Linked DNA regions of Astyanax mexicanus. The protein of the gene in region 2 purifies or fractionates together with the protein of the main gene of each other region. This does not show direct contact. Links are inferred from orthologs where the notes say so. Each region holds a gene or a part of one and is shown on either strand. Other genes may lie near its edges.

Region 1 (7,653 bases), on a different chromosome or scaffold from region 2:
TTTCTGAGATGCAAACCTCTTTGTTTTGTTGAAAAGGGTCTACACAGCTTTGAAAAAGGTAGAAGATCCTTTACAAGACACTTCACAGCAAGCAGAGCTTTTAATCTCATATCACTTATAAAAAACATAAGTTTAAAAAAAAAACATTAAAAAACATAGCAAGCACATCCAGTAACAATGCAAGTGGAACAAATATTGGGCTAAATAAACTACCTTTACCCACCAGCCCACAAGAAAAAACTGGCTTTGACCAAAACCAGTTGACTACAACATTAGCAACTGTAAGTAAAAAAAGACTGGTCTCTGTAACACTCAATCCCATAGGAAGTGCCTGTAGTTTTATCATACAAACACAGCTGATCTAGATTGGTTTGGCTTTGTAGTAGAGGCAGACAAGCCTTTGCAAAAAGGTGGAAGATTATTTCATGACATACTCCACACTAAGGAGGGTCTTTTATATAATTTCAGATATCATCCCAAGAACACCTAAAGCAATGTATGTGGAAACACTCATGAAGCAATGTCTCCTCCTCACCTGTTCATACCACAACTAGACAAGGGATGGAGCAAAACTATTCCACTAAATTACAACACTAAATAGTCAAAATAAAATGCATGGCTATATTTGGCCAAGACCAAGAACAGCCTGTGAAGATAACTATGATCATCTCCAGCTTCTAAGGCAAAAAACTGGTTTTGTTAAAGTAGCCTTCCAGGATGTACTTCACGGTCCACACTGTGCAAGGCCTTGCATGTCATATCAGATATCATATCAAAAACATCCACAGAAATGTTGGTGGAACACACTTGAAGCAACGAACTCCCTCACCTGCCCATCCCAAAAGAGAGACTTGGGTTGGACTAAACCCAATCTCCACTACAGGAGTGACTGGCTGACTGACTTCTTTGGGCATGGCTTCTTTAGGCAAAGACAGATTACTAACAGATTGTGAGCTTGCTACGTGTAACTTCTAGGTCTGAAGCAAAAACTGGTGTTTGTCTAGAGGCCTAGCTGACTAGCTACATAACATTACCCCTGCAAAGTGTGGAAGATAATTTTCAGGATGTAACTTTCTAGCTAGCTTGTTTGCCTATTCCACACCAAGCAGGGCATTCAAATATCATATCAAGCACGTCCAAAGCAGTGTAGGTAGAACTCTCGTGGAGCAATGACCCCTTGTTACACGCTCATCCCAAAATCAGATCAGGGTTAAACCTAAACCATTACGCTAAATTAAAACACTATGAAACTTCATAATAACGCATGGCTACTTTTGGATTATAAACAGCTTATGAAGTTGCTATGTTTGTATCCTGCCTCCAAAAGAAGCCTACGTGCCTCTGCAAACTGTGGAGGATCATTTCCAGGATGTACTCCACACTGAGCAGGGCCTTTCATGTCATATCAGACAACATATCAAGAACATCCATTGCAATGTTGGTGGAACCCACATGAAGCGACCCCCCCCCCCCCCCCTTACCTGCCCATCCCACAAGAGAGACTTGGGTTAGACAAGACCCGGTCTCCACTACAAGACTGACTGACTGACCTCTTTAGGCTTGGCTTATTTAGGCAAAGACAAATTAATAACAGATGCTACGTGTAACTGTTGGATCTCTAGAGGAATCTGGGGTTTATCGTAGAGGCCTAACTACGTTACCTACATGTCTCTGCAAACTGTGGAAGATCATTTCCAGGATGTAGCTAGCTAGTTAGCCTAATCCACAGTGAGCAGGGCCTTCAAATATCATATATCATATCAAGCACATCCAAAGCAGTGTAACCTGAGTGGACGCACACTAAATCAACGACCTCTCCTTAGCTAGGTTAACTCGTTAGCTTTCCAGATAGCTACTTTAGACTTAACTAGCTCACCTAGATAGCGCTAGCTAGTTAGCTAGCTTATCTACACATCCTACAAGGGAGACCCGCGTTGGACCAAAACCAGCTCCCTAACCTTCACCATTAGCTAACTATTTAACAGCTGTAAATTATCCTTATGCTTCGTTTTTTTTAAGCATAAACACCCTCTATATTAGCTATAGGCCTATAAACAGTCACTCTTAATAGTATAAATGGCACTTACAGTTTCTTATGTCCGATATGAAGACCGCTAATCCTCGCATTCCGTCTCCTTTCGACACAGCCGGCATCTTTGCAGGATTTTGTTGTTTCTTCTCACCTTACACGAAAAATAAACCACTTTTTGTCGACCTACGACGGTTTAGCTCACCTCGCTTTCCACAAAATACGCTCGTTTCGTAGCACAGCACCACTGAGCTACCTAACTAGCTAGAGCTATGTTAGCCGAGAAGCTAGCTAAAGCTAACGTTAACTAACCCGTACTCTGGCGCTTTTGATGGATGTTTAATGTGCTAGAGAGTTAGCCACCTAGCTAACGATAGCTGCTAACACAGTTGTGTGAAAGCTGAAATAACCAGACCTGAAAGTCAAAGTGTCTACAACCTATCTCTCTTTCTGCCTGTGTGCTTCTTTATTCAAAATATGTATCTGTCAATTCATAAGCGAGAAACCCGCTGCGCTCCGACCGCCGCCGTTTAAATTCATTCAAACCCAACAGTCCAAAATTTAACTACTGGCCCAAACGACGACAGGACTGAGTCACTTGGTGTGTAAAACCAAATTTACAGCGGGTCGTTTTCCTATAACACACTGTAGATGAGTGGATGTCCTACACAACATAAACAGCCACCGGGAGAGGGAGGAAAGCGATTAAAAAATAAAATATTTGATCTCCTTTCTGCTCGCTGTGAGTCACGGCACGGCGAGCTAGCGGACCAGCTAGCTGGCAGGCTAGCGCTATCAAACGTTAGAATACATCACCCGGAATGACCAGCGCGGTCGGAGACGGTCAAACCTAACGTTTTTTTCGGCGAACAATCTTATATTTAGCTGGAAAAACACAAATATGTAGTCTAGAATTCGGTTCGAGGTCGTCGGTTTCGTGCCTGCCGCGCCAGGTCGGTGTTCACGGACGAGGCTCGTGACAGAACGAACGAATAGCGATGTCCGACTCGGGAAAGAATCGGTTCATTTGCAAATAAATCCATTGAACCGAATCAGAGTGAATTAATCCTTACTGTGGCAGCCTATATAATGTTTACTTTAGTGTTCAAAACTAAGTTATCATTATGTTAGAAGTATATTTATACTTTTATTTAGTTTCTTGCACTCAGTGATACTCGTAGGTTCCAGAACCACGATTCTCATCAAGAAGAAGAGACGAAGATGCATGATAAATAAATAAAGACAATATTATATTGTGTTGTTGTTGTTATTCATTGCATGCATAAGGAAATTAAATACATGTTGTCTGCTCCCTGGTTTATTAATCGTGCACAGCATGCACTAGAAAAAAACACTGTGTTTTTTTCCACACAGTAAAATTGTGGTAAAAAAATGTGTGTTGTATATGATGCAATTTGTTTAAAACTATTAAAATCTACATGTAATTGCATTACTTAATTATTTTATGTTTATAACGTGTACTTTTTAAATATCTGCAACTTCTCAGTTTTTTTATTTTATTTTATTTTATTATTATTTAGATTATCTATTATTTTATTATTTATTAATACATTATTTGCAATCTTATTTTATCTATGTGTACGAATATCGTTTTATGATTCATGCAGCTGTATTTTGATTTTTGCCACAATGTAAACAAAAAAAGCAAGCTAATAATTGCGGGACCTCTCCCACCCTAAAAACGAGAATGAGTCACTGAATCGGGCAATTCGAAAGAATCGGTTCGGTAAACTGAATCAAAGTTCGTCTACACTCCAGCAGTATCAGTAGTAAAGGATTCTAGTGCTTCCTCTCGAGAAGCTCCGCCCCCCTGCTACCACAGCACACGCTGATTGGCTGGTAATAGTTTGTAATGCCGTTATGAAAACATTAATAGCTCGTTTAAATTGAATCTGGATCAGTAAAACTTGCTTTGTTTCTACATTAAATATATTTATTTTATATATGATATAATCAAATAGTCTAGCGGAAAATAAGCGTATTTGAGTTATTTGATATGGTTCAAATGAAAGGAACCATCTCTAAGAGCTCATTTACAGAAAGTTAACGGATTTTGGTATGCTGTCTGATGTCTGACACACTGGTTTACCACAGTTTTGATCATAGATTTGTCAATATTATATAAAAAAAATAGATTTTTAGCATGTTATCCTTGAACATCTGTTTTTCTGGCTCTCTGGGAACATTAACCTCAGTGTACTGCACACTGCAATAAACCATCCTGACGTACTGTGCCACCACACCGTGGACTTTATTATGGAAGATTAATGTCACTTGCTATGAAGTATCATAAATATGATCATTACGCAATACCCACTGCCCTGTGTGGAAAGTCAATTGCTCCCTTTGCTGTATACTTTACACCATCCTCAACACCAATCATTGCAACTACACTCTATCTGACATCATTGATCAGCTTTTTACTCTGCGATGGAGGGAGATAGCTGCTTATTTCAGGCCCTGTCACAGTAACTGCAATGCAGTGCTGTCATTTTACAACAATATCAAATCAATATCAATAGCACAATAAAATATTTAATGCAGTATTACAGTAGAAACACAAACAACCATTTTTAGTAACTGAGTAACTGTCTCTATTGTCCAGGGATGGCTTATTCTATTGGCAAAACTTTTCTACAGGGACTAGATAAGCTGTGTGTGTACTTTTCTCTTTTTGTTCCAGCAATGGGTGCAACTTAAAGTAATTGAATGCATTAATTAGAGAAGATGTTTACAAAAAGTGAATACGTAGTTTTGTGAGTTTTGTAAGTTAAAAAGCACTTATATACATGTCAGTGATAAACGTTATATGCTGCTACTGCCTGTGTAAAAAACGATGAATCATCTAACAATTAGGAATTTACACAAAAGGAATATTTCTTTTTAGATTTACTCAAGAGCGCCCTCTAGCGTTTTCCAAGGGTGCGTCCCAATTGCGAACTGCATAATAATAATATAGGTATGTACTATATACTGGTCCTAATAGTGTGAGTTTTGCAGGTTAGCACACAAAAATATTAATAAATAAACCCGTTTTTACTGGCAGTGAAGTCATAAGGCACTTTTTAAAAATAATTTATGTTTTTCCTTTTTTGGCAGATTTTTTAGTATACTCAACTTTTATCTATACTACACACTAAATACCCCAAAACTAGTTACTACTAGTAGGTACGCAATTGGAACACAACTCATGTCTTACTGGCCAGAATGGACACAAATATTAGGGAAAGTATTATTTGCCTTTTTTTTGTTCATTCTAATCAAAATTATACAATTTTTTTTATCAAATGATAAGCAATAATTACAACCCATGACTAGATCAAAACATTTGAAAAGAATTCATATTAATTGATTGATAGTGAAATTAAGTTTACATACAAAATAAGTTCATCTGGCATGATTATGTCAGACATAGTACTGCTGCTACTGTATGATATTGAATGTATAAACTGACTGTATCTATTATTAATATCCTTCCAAAAAACAAGGCACGTTCAAATGAGAATAAAAGCTATCGGGGGTGGGGCAACATGAAAGCTGTCCAATCACAACTCTTCAGTGGATTTAAAACCTGGACTGGTCAGGATTTACATGAAAAGCGAAAATACTGCAGGAACTGGGGCTGGAATCGCAAACAATCCCGAATCACGGCGTTGATGGCTTCACACTGAGCCAATAGCGACAGGGTTTATCAGAAAGGGCGTTACAATGGGTGGGGTCACGTTACAGCGGCCCAATTACCGATATGATGACTGGATTTAGAGCCAATGGGGACTGGATTTAGAGGAAAAGGCGTAGTTTGGGAGGTACTTCATCGCAGCAGTCCAATCAGAGAGCCGGAGTATGTGGGCGGGAGTCTAAAGGGGAGCGTTTAATGTTCCGCGCTGCAGCTGCGAGTCCAAAACTTGTCGGCGAAATGGCGGAGACGACGGACAGGATGGAGGTGAGCTGGAGCCGCGTAACAAAGACGGGCAGGGGGAGACCGCGGTTCATGTGGGAGAAATCCCAGCGCGCTTAGGGGCCGTGTTTGTTCGGTAGAGGCTGTGTGGCGGAGCCGCTGACCCGCTTATTTCGCTAATTAGCTCGTTGCGTAGTGACCTGAGCTCTCGGTAATGTGCGTATAGGAGCATCCATTTTAGCAGCACATCGCTCCCCATTCATTTCCACTAACACGTGGTTGCTAATCTGCTAACACACAGTACCGCCGTGGGGTTATGGCGTCTGTTAAACATTCCGTTTGTTTTATCTACTGCTCCGTTTGTATTTATTAATGAATCACTATTCTGTCTATAGTTATTTAGCTAGGTTAGCTGTGCTGCTAATAGAGAACGCATGGGATTGGCTAGCTGGGTATCTACCTAGGTTAGCATGTTAGCCAACTTAGCTAGTTAGCTTAGATCGGGTAGCTAACGCCGCCGCCTCGTTGTTTCTACATGTGTTAACCAAAGTGATATTAGAAGTTGGAGCTTTTTTTGGTTAGTTTTGAAGTAGTAAAGCTTATCTACTGAGATTTAGCCACTGACCATAACTAGTAACCTTTTTTAGCTATAGAAGCTAAAGGTGGCCTCTCGCGAATTCCCCGGTCCACCTTAAATGGCACCGCAGCTGCTACAGATGGAGCTAGCGGCGCCAGAATGTAACTTCTGTACTTTTTAAGGTGGAACTGAGAATTTAAATTTTAAGGACATATTTTTTATCTACATGGCCTTACCCCTTTACTGTAAAAGGTACAAAAATGATTTCTTAGGATCGTTTCCCTTTCAGAGGCTCGAGTACAGTACGGTTTATTGTAGGACCAGGCCTCATTTATTTTACATACCACGTGTGCTGGTCTGTTAGTGATAAAAGCCTTTGTCTGCCCCCCTTTTTCCTGTGAACTTCTCCAGTCCGCCACCCATTGTGGGGTGTTAAATTTAAGAATTTAAGTGTGTTTTTTTTTTTTTTTTTAAGTTTTGATTCCATTTAAAATTATTTTGGGGGCCTTAAGTGTTCTTTTATGTTCTTTTTATCTTGCGAAATTCCACAAAAACACAATTTACTTAAAACTCCAGGCTGAAACTCTTTTGGCTTTTGTTTTAAATGTAGTATTTATTTAATCCTTTGTTCTCCAGGTGTCCCAGGGAGAGAGCTCAGAGAAGCCTGCGGCTGAAGACATGACGTCCAAGGACTACTACTTTGATTCCTATGCTCACTTTGGCATCCACGAGGTTGGTACTCTTGTTGTTATACCCCTGTATTCAATACTGTACAGTATTTAATAGTTTAGACTTAATTTCCTACCTTACGACCTGTTTTCTAATGCTTTTATTTGGTGTTTACAGGAGATGCTTAAAGATGAAGTGCGAACTCTCACATACAGAAACTCCATGTTTCACAACAAGCATCTGTTCAAAGATAAGGTGGTGTTGGATGTGGGCAGTGGAACTGGCATCCTGTGTATGTTTGCAGCTAAGGCTGGTGCCAAGAAGGTTATTGGGGTAAGTAGACATTCTTGTTGTGCAAGTCAATAATGTAACATAATTAGAAGTGTGTCTAAAGGAACCTGTAAGTAACTGTGCTGTGTGGTTTGACCAAATATGTATACAAAAGTATACACAATATAC
Region 2 (7,734 bases):
TTTTGCCCTAATATGCACATATAGCTAAAAAAAAAAAAAAAACACTTAAAAATGATGAGTTTCTTTGATTTTACCAAATTGAAAACCTCTGGAATATAATCAAGAGGAAGATGGATGGTCACAAGCCATAAAGTGCAGGCATAAAGTAGAATAAAGAGAAATAACTGTGATTAAAAACCAACCAGGGTTATTCCGCCACATATTAATTTCTGAATTCTTAAAACGTCTATATGAATATGAACTTGTTTTCTTTGTATTATTTAAGGTATGAAAGCTCTGCGTCTTTTTTGTTTTTGTTATTTGAGCCGTTTCTCATTTCCTATAAATAAATGCTCAAAATGACTATTTTTTTCCTGAATTTGGGAGAAATGTTGTCTGTAGTTTATAGAATAAAACAGCAATGTTAATTTTACTCAAACATAAACCTATAAATTGCAAAATCAAAGAAACTGATTCAGAAACTGAAGTGGTTTCTTATTTTTTTCCAGAGCTGTATATCTAGGAATATGTTAAGTAGAAATGTCTGAAATAGGGGCGAGAGGCGAGCCAGCAGAAAGCCTTATCCAGCAGAGAGCAAATGGATATATATTTTTTTTTAATGCACGTCAGCACAATAGAGGCGTCTCTGAAGCTCCTCTGCAGATCGCACATGTTACGTTTCTGTGGGGAGCTGAGAATGTAGGTCGTGGTGGACTGCAATTTATCATAAAGTGTGGCTCTCAGCTCCTCTGAGTCACTTCCTGTTAGAGTTGGGTTAGTTGAGCCGTTGCGTACGCGCCGTGGCCTGAGCGCTATTAGATTACACCACAGTAAACATCAGCCTCCATGCCCAGACTAACACTCCTGCATGCACCACCGGGTGGAGGGCGAGTCGTCTGAAGCGTCGCCACATGGATGCATCCGTGCGTATCCTCAGTACCCCTCTCGTTTTTTATTCTTTCTGATCTTCTGCTTTTGTAGCTCCTCTGGTTTTCGGTCTGAACTCTTGTCTGACTGTGGTTTGACGGGATGGTCTTCTGCTTTGGTGTGGGTTCCTCTGATCTTGTTCAGATTTGGACAGAAACTTTGCTTGATACTTGTTCTTTCTTTCTTTCGTTTATTCTTTCATATCAGTTTTAAAACAAAAAAAAAACTTTTGTTTAAAGAATGTCATCAAAACGAAGGCTGAAGACTGAAGGCATTTTTCAACAAGAAAATGACGGACTGTTCTGCATTTTTATTTTTTATTTATTTATTTTTTTGTTCTGGGAGCTACAATTCATGCAGCAGAATTTTTATTCTTTTCAGTGGAAATCTATCCCAACTACATCCTTCATCAAGTCTCTCAACCATGGTTCACACATCTGGTAACTTTTTAAAAAGTGAATTCAGGCAGCTGAAGAATATAATTGTCATGTTTCTTGCATGAAACATCATTGATTGCACTGTTCCTCAGCTTCAGTGCTCCTTTAAAGGGTTTGTAAGTGAGTTGCACTTTTTTCACACCTGCCCTTTTACCTCGAATCTTTACTTTCAAACAGTTTGTGCAGATAGTAAAGTTTGTGAAAGGATAGTAAGCTAATACAGATTGTGAGAAGCCATGCTGAATGCTTTGTTTTTAGAAGAGCGTAAAAATGAACTTAAACTTGCCATTTGTGGAGTGTGTGGCTGAAGAAAGGAAACACTTAAATGTGATTTTATATTAATGAGTCATTTTTCTGTACGAGATATTTAGTCTTTTTTTTTTTTTTTTTGGCTTTTATGGCTGAATAATTTTGGTTGCCAAATAGTCAGTGCATCCATACATTGTGTCTTGAATGTTATCGTTTCTCTAAAGCTAATAAACGATAGTGTTTTTTTCTCTCTCTCTCTCTCCCTCTCTCTCTCTCTCTCTTTCTCTCTTTGTCTCTCTATCTGTCTTTCTGTCTCTTTCTCTTTTGGTATCTCTCTCTTTCTCTCTCTCTCTTTCTGTCTCCCTGTCTCTCTCATGGTCTCTCTCTCTCCGTCTTTTTTTTTCTCTGTCTCTCTTTCTCTTTGTGTCTCTTTTTTCTCTTCTCTGTTCAGTTCAGTTCAGCATTGCTTTATTGGCATGAATGTAACAATCAACACTATTGCCAAAGCATAAAACAGAAAAACAAACAAACAAAAACATAATTAATAATAATGAATTAAAATAAAGATTACATACATACAATTACAACAACAGAACTTATTATTATTTACTCTGTCTCTCTCTTTCTCTCATTCTCTCTCTTTCTTTCTCTCTCTCTGTCTCTTTTGTCGCTATGTCTCTTTCTCTGTTTTTCTCTCTTTCTCTGTTTGTCCCTTTCTCTTTTTTTTCTCTCTCTTTCCCTGTCTCTCTCTCTCTCTCTCTTGCTGCAGACGGTGATACAGCTGCGTTTAGTCTCTCAGTTTTTTCTCTTTTTTTCTCTCGGCGCTCCTGACTGACGTTTCAGCGCTCCTCAGTGACCGGGTAACACACTCGAATGAAACCTGACATGATGTCCCTGTTCCCCCAGCCGGCAGTCATGTGCACGTTCCCCCATCCTCCCTGGAAAAAAACTACTCTCCCCTAGTGCACTCTGGGAATTGTAGTTTGCAGCAGCTTTGTTGTCACTGCTTCCGATATTCAGGTCACTTATCTGAGCGGACTGCCGCCGGCGTCTGGAGAATCTAACGGCCGGCGCGTGCAGCCGTTATCATCCCAGCGCCGCCTGCCTGTTCCTGTAGGAGCTCCACGACGGTGTGGGGGAACATATCCACCGTTTAACCTTGGAATTGTTTCCTTGGAATTGTTCTGTCTGTGTGCCGGAAGAGGAGGTCACAGCAGGTTAGAGGAAAGAAACAGAAAGAAGGAAATGCAAAAATTAGAGGAAGGAAAGAGGAATTAACTCATCCCATACAAGCCTTCCTCTGTCCCTACAGCTCTTTGGTTACCAGTGGAGGGTGGTTCACCTGCTTCCCCAGCATCCGTCAGTTCAGTCCTTCCATTCAGTCATCAGCGGCAGCATCCGTCTACTTTCAGTTTTTACAAAAAACACTCTTTTTTCCAATTCAGTAAAATAAAGAGTGGTTCAAAATATCCAGTGACGCATTAAACATTTCCCCTTATCTAAACCCACAACTCAAATACGCAACTGAAATAACTACCAGGAGTGGGAATCGTAGGGTATCTCACGATACATTAAATTAGCAAATACTCACAGTAACTATAAATTTATTGGCCCCAATATCACATAACCAATATTGACAACCAATATAAAACAAAGTACATAGCTAAGCTTGCTCGTGTCCCTTTAACACACATACAGTAACTGCAACTCCTCCAAGTGTGTCTCTTATTATTCTAATGTTAATGTTATTATTCTAATTCCAATGTGTGTGTGTATATATATATATATATATATAATAGATGAATTTTCATGAATAAAAAAAACATTGAGTTTTTGTACATTTCCCTCTCAGTCCAATTTTCACAAAAATTACTCAAATAAAATGCAAACTGTCTTTTGATCACAACATGGGTCAGATCCAAAGTAATATATATACATTCTATCAATATTTACATCTCATTTGAAGATATTTTAAAAGAGTTACATCTGTTACATCTGCCATTTGCGAATTTCTCCTATATATGGTTTGTAGTTTTATATAAAAATGTACTGCAAAATCTAAAAAAGTCTAAGGCTCTAAAATTTAAGATGTGAAAATGCAGTAAAACATGCACTGAATCTAGAGCCTCATCAATAGAAAGCACAAATGGAGAGCAAGATAATAATCGTGATTAATCAACTTACTGAAAGTTGATTAGTCTAAAATTCGACTAATAAAATAGTTATTTGCATCCCTAAAGCTAATGCTAATTTCCATGTTTTATTCCATGTTTATTAATGTTACGCAATATCAGAAATTAGCATCAACCCACAATATATCACACATCAGTGCATCCCCAGCTAACGTACTGTTAATGTACATGCTAGGTACAGCAGGGTACTCTTTTATAATTTGATAGAAACAGCTGTGCTATTAACTCATTTTTACCTTTAGCAATTAATAGTTGATGCATAATTCTCCTGCATAGTTCAGCCCCAACATAAATGCGTAAATGCATGAATGACTGATGCCTGCGAGGAGACAGCCAGCCAGCGAGGGAGGGAGCGAGGGAGGGGGAGCAGCAGAGGCAGGGAGGTGGAAACAGGAATCAGCAGCACCATCAACGTCTGAACGTGCACAGGGAGAGAGAGAGAGAGAGAGGGAGCGAGGGAAAAAGAGAAAGAGAGAGAGAGGGCGCTAGACAAGGAGGCGAAGAGAGCAGAGGACAGTTGGCTGCAGCGCTCACTCCCCAAATGCAGACGGAGGTGGGAAAAAGAGGAGGATGAGAGAGAGCGCGGGGGACGGAGAAGAGAACAAAGGCAGATCGCCCGGCCGATCCTTCGTTCCAGTCTTCAGGAGAGGAGAGAGGGAAGGACGGGATCCGCGTGCGGACGAGAGAGGAAGCAGAGCCCGGCTATGACTTTGTAATTTATTTATTTATTTTCCGGTAACGAGAGGAAGCAAGTCAATGAATGAAAGCAAGACCACGTTGTTCCTCTCTGAGGGAGGAGACTGACTGAGCGAACGAGAGAACAAGGGAAAGGTAGATGAAGAGAGATAGAGAGAGAAAGATGGAGCAAGACGACAAATATGACCACTGACAAAAAACTGCACCATTGAAGGATAGGAACATGAACGTGGACGATATTTGTTCCCGACACGTTGCTGAAGATAATCATGCAAGCTTTTTATATTTGATTCTTTTTGATTGACAGACTGAAAGATTGAACCTTTCGCAGCAGGAGCGAAAATCCAGATGTCAAAAATTGTTTACTTTAGATTACATTTTCTTTTCTGTAGTGTATGTGTGAGTGTGTGAGTGTGAGAGTGTGAGAGTGTGTATGCATAGCCTACTGGTTACTTAAACACTCAATCGTATATATGCAGTCAATAATCAGGTTCCTTGTATGCAAAACTTTGTGCGTTAAGTTAATGAACTCGATTGGCAAAGAGACTTTCTCTTTTCTCTTTGGAAACTCCAGTAGGTCGAGTGCTCTTGGCAGGCAGTCCTTTTTGTAAATGTTCTGTTTTTTGTCCGGAAGCGTAGCCTTGAGCAATACTTGATTTCCTCCGGACTGGTGCGCTGGCTGACGGTGCTTTGTGTAAGAGCCAGCCTTGGACAGCGATGCTATCTGATGCACTCTGCGTGGAGATGTCAGCATTGATTAGCTTTATGGCCGTGGAGACGACAGCCAAACTTTGCTGTCTCATGGCAGCGTGTTCATCAGACTATTGATCCCCCGCAGGACTCCCGCCGAGCCTTCTTTATTCTGCAGCCGGAGTCAGAGTCCCTCTCCAAAGTCTGCTTCGATTGGCCAACAGTAAAGAGAGAGAGAGGACAGGTTTTGTGTTGGTGGGCTCGCCTTTTGTTTGGGTTTCCGTCAAAGATTTTGTCTGGCAGGATTCTGCTCTCCAGTCTATTGCCATGGCAACAACCTGGCTACCGCGAAGTTCTTCTTCTTTGTTTCGTATCTTGCCGTGAAGCGAACTTTCGAGGTCGCTCAAGCTCGCGCGACTTGGGTAAGATCTGTTCCTTCGAGCAAGCTAAGCCAGGATTCTTGGTGCTCTTTTTCTTCTATTTCTCTCTTCTCTTGTCTCACTCTTGTCTAATGTTTGTGTGTACTTTTTCAGTACAATCTGTACAGTTTGCTAGATCATGTTGCATCACTGGCAATGACTAAAGGACTAAATCGACAAGTCATCATTCAATCATTCAGGATTTACACTGGTTTACTTTCTCATAAACTAATCTAAGCGTCTAATCTTGTTTCGTCACAGAAAGTAAAAAGTAGTGCACTACTTTGTCTCATATTGTCGCATTCAGGTTCTTTGACATGTACGTGTGAAAAAAAAAATATATATATATTGTGTATTACCGTTTGCGTGTACATGTACATGTAAAGTTGTGTGTTTTGTGTGTTTGAGTAAAATTGTGTGGTAGTAACTCAGGTTTTGCCTCCACCAAGGGATGGCCAGCCATACTGTGCAATTTTTCATCTGCACTAATTCCTTAAGACTAACTAAAACCTGGCTGATGATTAACCGATTAATCAATTAACCAACTAACATCACCTGAAGCGGACCTGTAAGCCGTAATCGTGAGTGTCCTGCAGAAGTTTCCGTCCTCGTCTTTTACGTCTTTCGTGTAATTCTGGAAAAGTTTTTCACTTGCATACTTTCTACAGACACTTGTTACCTCTTATTTTCCAGCGTCCTACACTGGGATTGACAGTACATCGTGTCTACAGTCAAATGGCAGCGGCTCATTCGTTCAATCCTGGAACAGACTGTCCTATTCCAACAGGGATTCTGCCATACTCTTGACGAACAGGTGCTACATCTGAGCTGCCTTGGTTTGACTCCATCCGAGGCTCGGTTCGCTGTACTGTTACTAAATAAATGTTCTTTGTAAAGTTCTCGTTGGGTTTTCTACTCCCTTTGCACTGTTTCTTCCCGAACACTGTGCTCCACGTGTGCCATGAAGCGTTGGTCACAACACCGAGAGCTTGTTTGTTGCAAACGTTGGATTGCAAACAAACATTTGAATGCAGTTTGATTGCAAATGCACCTGTCCTTTTTTTCCTGAGTGGATAGTGTGGATGGTGTACGTGCAAGTGCGGTACAGCTCGCACAGTAGAACTACGCCAGTGATTCATACTCTGTGCCATGTCCTTGTAACCACTGGTGCATTTGACCTATTGCACTTACCGGACCTCTTTGGAGCTGCACTGAAAAGACACTACTACTTATATCGCAGCTGTTAAACTTTTACACTTTAACATAGCAGCGTTGGGAAACCTTTGTCTTGGAGCAAAGCTCCCAGCAAGGATCTTATTAGAGTAAGTAAGTAAGGAGTCCTGCAGTGGCCGTGATTGCCAATCTGACTGCTCGTCACGTCTTTTAGGACTTTGCTAATGGGTTTTGCTCTACCCGACTATAGCAATTGGTGCTGTTTAGAACAATCTGATTAACATCTCGTCAGTTTATCTGATGATTAAAGCAGCTGCTCACACGTCTACGCTGACGGAAGACAAATATGCAGCGGAAGCCTCTGAGGATGAGAGCCTAATGAGCGAGGCTAGACTACTGCCAGCAGTAGCTCGGGCTGAGAAGTGTGCATACTGTTAGAACAGAAAGTGCTTTGGAGATTAAGGTAACAGATGTAGTGGGATTAGATTGCGATGAATTCTTGTGCTAAGACTGTTCTGCTCGAGTCCGTTCCAGACTGTTTAGAAGCGTCAGCTTTTAAAGACTGTCGCTTTTCTGGCTTGAAGCTTTGTTAGGACTCGAGGACTCAAGGACTTGAGGACCCGGCTAGGTCAAGCTGCTTTCAGGGTAGCTTTTCTCTCAGGAAACAGATTTCATATGATGGTACTATTCCGCAGCTCCTAGGTGTCACTTAAGGTAATGAGGGAGTGATTGATTTTCCAGTCAGCCTCTAATGAGCCCCTCTTCTCCGAGATCTCTGAGGGCGGAACGTCAGACAGAGCCAATCAGGTCTCATTATCATTAGGCTGACAAGCTGGTGTTTGTCATTCTCGGGGGAACTCCGCCTTTATAGGGGTTGGCGGTTTATCACTCTGAAACATTATTATCGCACATGACACTACTGAACACTACTGGACATGGTTCTCATTGTACACAGTTATTTCTGGACCTCTC

Evidence for each region. The genes of interacting proteins can lie anywhere in the genome.
Region 1: the proteins of shc1 (region 2) and ap2a1 purify together in Homo sapiens (affinity purification with mass spectrometry; 4 studies listed by BioGRID and IntAct, counting the BioPlex papers as one, with this or other methods). This does not show direct contact. The link is inferred for Astyanax mexicanus from reciprocal best matches to the Homo sapiens genes SHC1 and AP2A1.

The regions. Positions count from the first base shown.
Region 1 is NC_064426.1:20,247,427-20,255,079, forward strand, and holds the start of ap2a1 (AP-2 complex subunit alpha-2), read right to left. Parts: upstream 3,032-7,653; 5' UTR 2,155-3,031; coding exon 2,088-2,154; intron 1-2,087. Other genes in the region: prmt1 (protein arginine N-methyltransferase 1), read left to right, coding at 5,925-5,993, 7,162-7,257, 7,372-7,527.
Region 2 is NC_064413.1:2,311,805-2,319,538, reverse strand, and holds the start of shc1 (SHC-transforming protein 1), read left to right. Parts: upstream 1-4,628; 5' UTR 4,629-7,734. UniProt on the Homo sapiens protein: Signaling adapter that couples activated growth factor receptors to signaling pathways. Participates in a signaling cascade initiated by activated KIT and KITLG/SCF.